Drosophila melanogaster: one gene and its partner. Changing the gene in region 1 together with any one later gene gives a genetic interaction. Each region holds a gene or a part of one and is shown in the gene's direction. Other genes may lie near its edges.

Region 1 (4,317 bases):
GATTATCTCCACGTTGGTTTGGCTCTCGCCCTTCTTGTACTCCAGCGAGCAGTCAAGCAGCACGATGCGGGGATTCTCGATGAGGCGTCGCATCTTGGGATGCGTCACGTCTTTGTTGATCATCACGCCCTTAAGAACACACGACTCCTCGATGGCGCCACCCGGGATCTTCTCCACCTTGGCATAGCTGTGAAAGTAACAAAGTTAAAATTATTTATTCAAAAATAATATGCATAACAAATTTCGTTCTTACCGTTTAATGTCTACCTCCAGACGGCCGTTCTCACTTAGCGTCACTGTCTCGACTGCGTCCAGGGCAATCTTGACGGCAAGGTCGGACCACTTGCCAATGAACTTGGTGCCCACACAGGCCTTGACCACATCGGCCATCTTGGCCTTATCCTTGACGTCCAACTGGATGCTAAGCTGGGACTGCAGGTGGCCGACGATGTCCTCGAGGGCCTCGCGATAGGCGCGAATGATAACAGTGGGGTGGATCTGTTGCTGGAGGAAGGGCTCGGCGGCGGCCAGCATCTCGCCGGCCAGGACGATGACCGATGTGGTACCATCGCCAACCTCCTCGTCTTGTGTGCGAGCAATTTCAATCATGCTCTTGGCCGCCGGGTGCTGCACAGTGATCTCACGCAGGATGGCGTTGCCATCGTTGGTCATCACGATGCCGCCCATTGGGTCCATCAGCATCTTCAGCATGGCCTGTGGCCCCAGACATGTGCGTATCACATCGGCGATGGCCTGGAAAAAGACGTTTTAATCAACAGATGGTCGGAAAACGCGAGAACACAAAAACCCAAGACCCAGACATGTGAGTCACGCATACCTTTCCGGCTTGGATGTTCTCCAACTGCACTTTGCGGCCCGATTCTCTCTTTGTGTTTTGACCTGTCGGCGGGTAATTCGATTGCAATTGGGCTCTACGACGTGCAAATTTCATACTCACTCAACACGAGTATTGGCTGCTGTCCACCGAACATCTTTCTGGCTGTTTAATTTATTTCTGCGTGAAAACAATTGAACTCGTGCTGGCGCTGCCGCTGTTTGAAAGAGAATGAGTGAGGTTAGAACCGCCGATGACACATTATTCGAGAAGGTTCGATAGGATATTGAGCGGACCGGCTTGTTAGTTACTTCTGCCAGTTCCTTCTTCTAGTTTCTTTTCTTTCCTCACTTACTGCTAACTGACTTTTGCGATCGCTTATAAGTTTAATTCAAATTCTCCACAATTCGAAGCAGCAGCTCTCTTAAGAATCGATATCGAGAAACAGTATACTTACACTATGCAGCTTTTGTTATCGATGTCACAGAATTACATTCGTCATAACTGCGATTTTTTGAAGGCGCCTAACTTGGTTTTAAATTTTCCACCCTGAGGTTTAAGCGAAATCAAAACATTAAACTTGTAACAATAAATAATATTTTCTACGGTGTAAGTGATACTGGAAATTAATTTATATTACGAATGGATTTTAAATTTATGTTATATAGCATATTTCTATCACATCATAATTAAAATGTGGAAATTTTGAAGCCTAAAAAGCCTAACCAACTAAACTCAAAAGAAGTTAAAATATAATTTATGAAAATTGTATCACCTTCGAAAAAGAAAATGTTGGAGGATATTCTGAATATAACGGGGGAAAAGTGATTACTTGGAATGATGAGTTACATAAACAGCGTCGAACTTTTTAATATTTGAAGATCCTGTGCTGTATTCAATAAAACTGCTCAAAACGTATTAAATGGATTTCATGGTAGTTTTTATATATAAATGGAAAAACAAATAAGTTTTGCAAATACTTTAAAAGTGTAGTGTAAGCGTTTCATAAATTAAATAAATTATCGATATCGATAACAAACCGCGAGTCAGCTGTGGCCTGTTTGTTTACGATACATTTCGGCTTCAATTTGTTTTTAATAGTTATTAATTTTTTAACTAGACAACATGGAGGCCAAGAAGATATCTTTTGGCTTTAGTAAATTGTCCAAGAAACCAAACATTCTGCCCAGCAAGCAGCCGAAAGAGGAAAGCAAGGTGGAGTTGATAAAATGCTTGGAAGGAAACGAAATCATGCCAGTCGAGTAAGTTAAAATATCTTGAAATAGTTTTATACTCATATGTAATATTTAGCGAAAAGGTGGAAGCTGCTCCTCTTACCATCAAAATGATAGGCATGCAGAAGACTTCGTCCGCTTTGGCGAGTCTGATGAGGAGGCGGGCAGTTCTGCTGGGCGAGGAGGAACCGGATCCAGAGGAGGTGACTCCAGTGGCTCAGTCTATAGCAGAGGTCACCGCAGGCGGTCCAACGGAGAGTCTGGAACAGAGAGCAGCTCGGGAATTGATATCTGCCATCCAAAATAACGGTGCCGAAGGCCTAGATGACCAGAAACTTGTCCTGCCCGCCCTAAGCGCAGACGAACTGCCTCTCGATGGTGCCAAGGAGGCAACACTAGATGACTATGACAACATACCGATACAACAATTTGGCCTAGCCATGCTGCGCGGCATGGGCTGGGTTGATCCACCGCCAAAAAAGAAGGGCTCAGGACCCATCGATGATGCCCCCTTTCTGCGACCCAAAGGCATGGGCCTGGGAGCAGATAAGGCGCTCAAACCTAAAGCTCTACTGGTCCAGCCGGAGAAGAACGAGGTACTGGAGATTAAGAAGCAGGCGTACGTGCGCATTCTGGGCGGAAAGCAGAAGGATCAGTATGGCCAAATCCAAGGTTTTGATGACCATGCAGGGCGAGTAATTGTCAAAATGGCAATTGGAGGGGCCAAAGAGGCGTTCAACGAGTTCCTTTGTCAGCCCGTATCCCGCAAGGAGTACTCTCAGTATGGCAAGTGCATAAGTAAGTGGAGCCTGGAAAATGCAAATCCTTTATATTTGTGACATTTTTATATTTCTTTTACATTTACTTTCAGACACTGCCAAATACGAAGAATTCAAAAAAAATGAAAACGAGCATGGCCAGATTATTGTGAAGCAGGAAAATCCGTCAGGAAGAAGGGACAGAGACCGCAGGGAAGAAATTAGATCAGACCGGGATGAAGCTCAAAATCAAAAGAGTTCGAAGCCAGGGGACCAGAGATCTAGTAAAGAAGACTATCGCATGAAATGCAAGGAAGAAGATAAAAGGTCTTACAAATATGAAGACAAAAAAACGTACAAAGACGAACATCGCAGGACGTACAAAGACGAGCGAAAATCGTACAAGGAAGCCAAATCTAACAAAGAGGAGGTGGATCGAGAAAAGAAGTATGTGCGGAGTGGTAGCTCCTCTGTATCTAAACGCGAGGAACGTGAGCGTCGTCGTTCGCCGAGTCCCAGAGGCAGAAGCCCATCTAAGTCGAAGCGGGAAGACCGTGACCAAAAGCGTTCGCAAAGTCCCCGAAGCACCAGAAGAACAAAGAGTAGTTCAGACGAGGCAGACGATACGGGAGAGTCCACCGAGAGCGACTCCGACTCTGCATATGAACGCAGGAAGCACAAGAAGAAATCATCCAGCCACAAGTCAAGAAAACACTCAAAGAAGTCCAAGAACAAGTCGAGAAAGGCGGACAACGACTCCAGCTTAGAGAGCGATGACAGCCTCGGTGAAAACCATCGTCGTCACCACAGCAAGCACAAAAAGAAGACCAAGAGGAGCAAGCATGTCAGGTCCCGCACGCGATCAAGGTCAAGAGACCGTCAGTGATTGATCTATTTAGTTGAAATCTTTATTTAAATATAGTTCATTAGACGCTTAAGTTCCTTTTTTTATCTTACTTGGGATTATCATAAATTTCAATTAACTCACAAAATAATCACAAAAATGCCTTGTCTTTTGTTGCGCGTTTTTTTCTCTCTCCGTACGCCTCGTTTCGAGAATACTTCTGTCTTACATGTTACAAACTTATAGTAGGAGATGTGATGGGGCCAGAACCACGGATTTGCTAGTTTTCCGAGTTTTTTTTTTCTGTATGCGCTGCTCTTATCTTTTAAGATATTTATAGTTTCAAATTCAATGCGCCTAATGTGTGATTTAGTGATGCGATGTGTGCATAATGGCAAGTAGATGACTTAGGCATGTTTTATATTTTTGGTCAAATGGTGATGAGTTTATCTGGTTGCTTTCCTTTACTGCAGCTTCCTTTTGCCGCACTGGATCTTCTCGTTAATAATCTTCGAGGCCCTTTGGGTGATGGCCTTAAAAATGTCCTTGTTCTGTAGTCCTGGCCACATGAGGATGAGTAGGGTGGCCAAGTACATAAGCAGTAGATTGTTAATGATGGCTCCAATCCAGGCCATAGCCAAAAGA
Region 2 (5,110 bases), 4.6 Mb from region 1:
CAATTCTATGCTGCTGCTTTATAATGACTGCAAGCTCTTCGAGAGCGGTTATCTTCTTAAGTAGGTACTCCACATTCAAATTGCTCCTTTGGTTCTTTTGCTTCTGCTTCACTATTTTGGCTAGCCGATCCATTTCCTGAACTCTTTGCAGCAAGCGCTTGCGGTCAATTCCAGTGTCAATTGTTTGAGGATTATTGTCTGACTTTCCATTGTTCAGCTTCAGTTTTTCATTCTCGGCCTGCAGGGATGCCATCTTTGCGCACAACAGTTGCGAAGCTTTGATAATCTCCACCTGCCATTTGGAAACGGATGCGGCGTACTCGTGCTGCGTTTCCAGCAGCACGCACTTGCACTCCTTGAGGTTCTTCAACTTGCGGTGTACATCAATGAAGCGGTCCTTTAGAGAATTAAACTTCTTGCGTTGCTCAGAGTTAAGTTCCTTGATGTTTTGGTACTTTTGCTGCAGCACACTCGACTCTTCTTCCATCGTGGCGACTTGCTGGCGAAGACTAGCGTTTTCCGCCTCCGCTTCCTTAATTTTGGCAATGTCCACTTCCAAAAGTTCCAGATTCTTGCGCTGCTCGTTACCCAGAGCATTGACCTGTTGCATAGCCTTTTCCATGCGATCCACATTGGCAAGGAGGGCATCGTTTTCATCACTCAGTCGCCCAAGTTGGCGCTTTAGGCTCTCGTTCTCGATCTCGAATTGCGTCAGTCGATCGGCATCCTCTTTGGTCTTTCGTTTCAGATTATTCACTTCCTCGGTGAGGATGAGGTTCTTATCGGTGAAGTCCTGGACCATTTCCTGCATGGCTGGCAGGCTGCTCTGCTTCTCCGCCGCCCGTTTAAGGGCATCCTTGAGTCGGTGATTTTCCTCGGTGAGTTCTGAAAGAGAGTGGCTTGCATTATTCTGGAAGATTCCCTGAAACTCTCCATCAAACTTACCATCTTTTGCCTGTTTCGCCTTTTTAGCGATGTTGAGCAGGCCTTTGTATTTGCTGATGATTTCATCTTTGCTCAGCGCCTCGATCGGATTCGGGTTCTTCTGCAAATGCAAATAACAAGATGAGACGTCATCATCAATTCTAGCGACACCTTTTTACTCACCTGGGTTTCCCTCGGTGATGCGGCTTCCATGTTACTTGCTATTTTCGTATCCTTGCATTTAATAGCGGTCCAAACATTTATGTCTTAACTCAGATCAGTGGTTTTCCAATTAGCAAGCGACCCAGATTACTCGAAAATGTTTTTGGACCCTTAATCAATCCGAGCGAAGAAAACACTCCAGCCACACTAACAGCTGATAGGGCTGTCATCACCGCCCAATTAGTGATGAGCGTCTTTTTTTAAGAAGGTGACGCAAAAACGGAAAAATTACTAATTAAAATTAAATGAAAGAATAATATTGTCTTAAAAATATGTGCTTTTTAAGGATTTAATTATCACTGTTGCATAAAAAGGGCTCAACTTTTTAATAAGTATTATGAAATTACATTTTGGTCCAAGAACGTTACCTTTAAAATTAAACAATATGATTCAATAAATTTGTTTCACTACTATTGGTGTTGTTCAACTATCGAAGGAACCTCAACTATCGATTAATGTGACCGCTCACCACTGACCACCACTAGCTCTGCAGTACAAGCAACATTTGGCATCTCTACTGTTTATCATTTTCTTGATCCGTTAAAGTGATGGATTTGAGTGATAATAGCCAAGTGGAGGATCAATACTTTGTTTACAAGCATGATAAGCTATTCGGCGAGAGTTTCCCCCTGTTCAAGGAAATCCGCAGGATGGGCAAGCTGTGCGATGTCACCCTAAAGGTTGTTTGCGTGCAGACTGGGGCATTCAATCACCCGCAGCTCAGAGATACGTTCATTATCTAGCGTCTAAATATAAAATGCCATCCCAATTATTGCAGGTTGAAGATCAGACCTTCTCAGCGCACCGCGTTGTGCTGGCGGCCACCATCCCGTATTTCTATGCGATGTTCACCAACAACATGGCAGAGAGTCGGATCAAGGAGATCACCATGAAGGAGAGCGCCATAGAGCCAAGTGCCCTGGAGAGTCTGATCAACTATGTTTACAGCGGCCAAGTGCGCATCGACAACCAGAATGTGCAGAACCTGATGGTGGGCGCCAGCTTCCTGCAATTGTCCAACGTGCGGGATGCCTGTGCCAGTTTCCTGATCTCCCGCTTTCATCCGCACAATGTCCTGGGAATCCGCACCTTCGCCGACTCCATGATCTGCCGGCAGCTAATCGACGCTGCCGACAAGTATATTGATCAAAACTTTGCCAAAGTCTCGCAGTCGGAGGAGTTTCTCGCCCTGGACTGCGAACAATTGCTGGAGCTGATGCGCCGGGACGAACTCAACGTACGCACCGAGGAGGTCATCTTCGAGGCCTGCATGAAGTGGGTCAAGTACGCAGAAGACAAGCGCTCTGAGCTCTTTCCTCAGGTCCTGGCTGCAGTGCGTTTGCCATTGCTCTCGCCTCAGTTCCTGGCGGACCGTGTGGCCCGCGAGGAACTCATTCGATCCTCGCACCAATGCCGTGATCTCCTAGACGAGGCCAAGGACTTTCACCTCATGCCCGAGCGCAGGGGTCTGCTGCAGAGCTTTCGCACGCGCCAGAGATCCGGTGAGTTCTTTACCGGACAAATATACGCCGTGGGAGGACTGGCCAGCACTGGGGAATCTGTGAGCACGGTCGAGATTTACGATCCGCTCACCAAAAAATGGAAAATGGGCGAACAAATGTCCATGATGAGGTGAGTGTGCGAGGAGCATTTATTTCTATTCTATCCCATACTAATTGCCAATTTTTCGACAGATCTCGCGTGGGTGTGGCCGTTCTGAATGGCAAGCTGTACGCCTTTGGTGGATTCAATGGCACCGAACGTCTGTCCACCGTTGAGGTCTACGACCCGCGCAAAAACAAGTGGTCCCAGGGCTGTGCCATGCTCTGCAAACGCAGCGCCGTGGGCGTGGCCGCATTGGATGATTGTATCTATGTGTGCGGCGGCTACGACGGCGTCACGTCGCTCAACACCGTTGAAGTTTACTATCCAAAGTCTAACACTTGGAAGACTGTAAGTAAACAAACATTCTATGTAACCCAGATGGGTAAGAAAACTGATCCAACTTTAATTTCACTACCCGAAGGTTGCTCAAATGATGAAATATCGTTCGGCTGGTGGAGTTACCCAATTGAACGGCTACGTCTACGCCCTTGGCGGTCATGATGGGTTGTCCATATTCGATTCGGTGGAGCGGTACGACCAGGCCGAAGATGTCTGGGTTAAGATGTCGCCCATGCTGAATCGTCGCTGTAGACTGGGCGTGGCCACGCTGAACGGAAAGATATACGTGTGCGGCGGCTACTGCGGCAACTCATTCCTTCGATCCGTAGAGTGCTACGACCCTCAGACGGACACCTGGAAGCTGGTGACACCAATGAATTGCAAACGCTCGCGGGTGGCTCTGGCCGCCAACATGGGCAAACTGTGGGCCATCGGCGGCTATGATGGCGAGTCAAATTTGTCTACAGTCGAGGTGTACGATCCGGAGACCGACAAATGGACCTTTATGCCGCCCATGTGCGCACACAGTGGTGGTGTCGGAGCCGGGGTCATACGGATCGAGTAACCCACTCGATTCGCCTGCCAAACCCGTTTCTCTAGCCACACTCGTCTTAGGTAATTTATGTGAATTGAATCGATATAGTTTAGCCTAGATATGATTGTTGAGGGTAACCAAGCTTTAGTGGCACCTCGTGCGGCCGCCTCGTATGCAACTCAGCTCAGCTCTTGCAGCTCTATCAAAATTGTTCATATACTACTCACAGCTCTATAGATTTTGTCATTCCAGTTATGTAATTGTTTAGTTACTACGCCTAGCCTTAAATACTCATTACAATATTAATCCTCCAAATAAAAACATGTATAACGCATGTTATGTAAAAATTTATTAATGGTTGGTTTATTTTTGTAAGACGGGTAAAATAGTCCTATGTATAACTAAAATCAATTTCACACCAATTTAAATCATATTTTATTTAATTTAATTTAAATTGAACTAGACTCTTAACATTAAAGTTATCTAAAGACGTATTCTTTGTATTCATTTTCAGTCATTACCCTCGCCATTTGTAATCTTGAAATGTTTTAGAAGGTTGTTAAAGTTCAGTAATTTCCTTACAGTAAAGGGACGACTGTCAACCTTTTGCACATCGTATAAATCAATTGTGTTTCGACGATCCATATGGGCGGCGGATACGTTTTATTTGAACAATAATAAATGGTTGACAAATAACAAAGCAATCTGAGCGACAAAAAGGCGAAAATGGCGAGGGCAGCGCAAAAAGTTGATGGTCAATAAGCAGGCCTTTATGGAAGGCAGTGCACTTGTTTATTGTCCCTAAAATACTTTCAGTTTTAATTAAAAATGATTAAATATTATTACCCAAGTCCCAATGTCTATCTACAATTTTCTACTTATTTTGTAACGAATAAATGTACCTTCCCTCGTTGCATCTCAGTTGAACATGCGGAGTATCTCTTCCCTTGATATTTGTACACCTCCCACGCGCGGAATGCAATTTTAAATTCGATTTGCACCACCTGCTCAAAGTGCAGCGGCAGCAAAACTAATTCGGAGCAACAGGTGGCAATGGCGCATCCAAAAATAGAGGCTAACGAAACCAAACCAAAACAAAATCAATTTGCCGTCTATCACTGACCCATAAAATGCCATACGCACAGCAAAGGGTCATAATCCAATCAATTGCACACTTAACGTACATATTTCGCAGTTATCAGATGGTTCCAGCGATGGAGGACCTTATCGCCGATCCGGATACGATCCGGTCCTGTTCCCGATTGCCAATGGCTACATGTATATTTATGTGGCTCTGCAGCGGCACGGCTATTTGCACAAGCGAAAAGGCTTTGTGGCGGCGGTCTTATTTGATTTTGATAATCAAATCACAAATTGCTTGTCTATCGATGGGCAATTTTATTTTAATTAAATGCTAATTATGTTTACCAAATGGTTGGAGTAAATATTTGTTGCATCACCGGGGACAATTGTTTATCACCACCA

What was found. Genes that interact genetically often act in the same process or in processes that back each other up.
Region 2: of CG10324 (region 1) and KLHL18, changing one enhances a phenotype caused by changing the other (phenotypic enhancement), as found in Drosophila melanogaster (one study listed by BioGRID).

The regions. Positions count from the first base shown.
Region 1 is NT_033777.3:16,644,571-16,648,887, reverse strand, and holds CG10324 (uncharacterized protein), read left to right. Parts: upstream 1-1,883; 5' UTR 1,884-1,960; coding exon 1,961-2,097; intron 2,098-2,146; coding exon 2,147-2,868; intron 2,869-2,941; coding exon 2,942-3,714; 3' UTR 3,715-3,816; downstream 3,817-4,317. Other genes in the region: CCT3 (chaperonin containing TCP1 subunit 3), read right to left, coding at 1-187, 254-753, 839-900, 959-992; Arl6IP1 (ADP-ribosylation factor-like 6 interacting protein 1), read right to left, coding at 4,137-4,317.
Region 2 is NT_033777.3:12,006,958-12,012,067, reverse strand, and holds KLHL18 (kelch like family member 18), read left to right. Parts: upstream 1-1,633; 5' UTR 1,634-1,694; coding exon 1,695-1,826; exon of another isoform or gene 1,827-1,903; coding exon of another isoform or gene 1,904-1,924; coding exon 1,925-2,778; intron 2,779-2,840; coding exon 2,841-3,099; intron 3,100-3,172; coding exon 3,173-3,655; 3' UTR 3,656-3,705; exon of another isoform or gene 3,706-3,967; intron 3,968-4,139; 3' UTR 4,140-4,592; downstream 4,593-5,110. Other genes in the region: GCC185 (GRIP and coiled-coil domain containing 185 kDa), read right to left, coding at 1-885, 946-1,045, 1,108-1,137.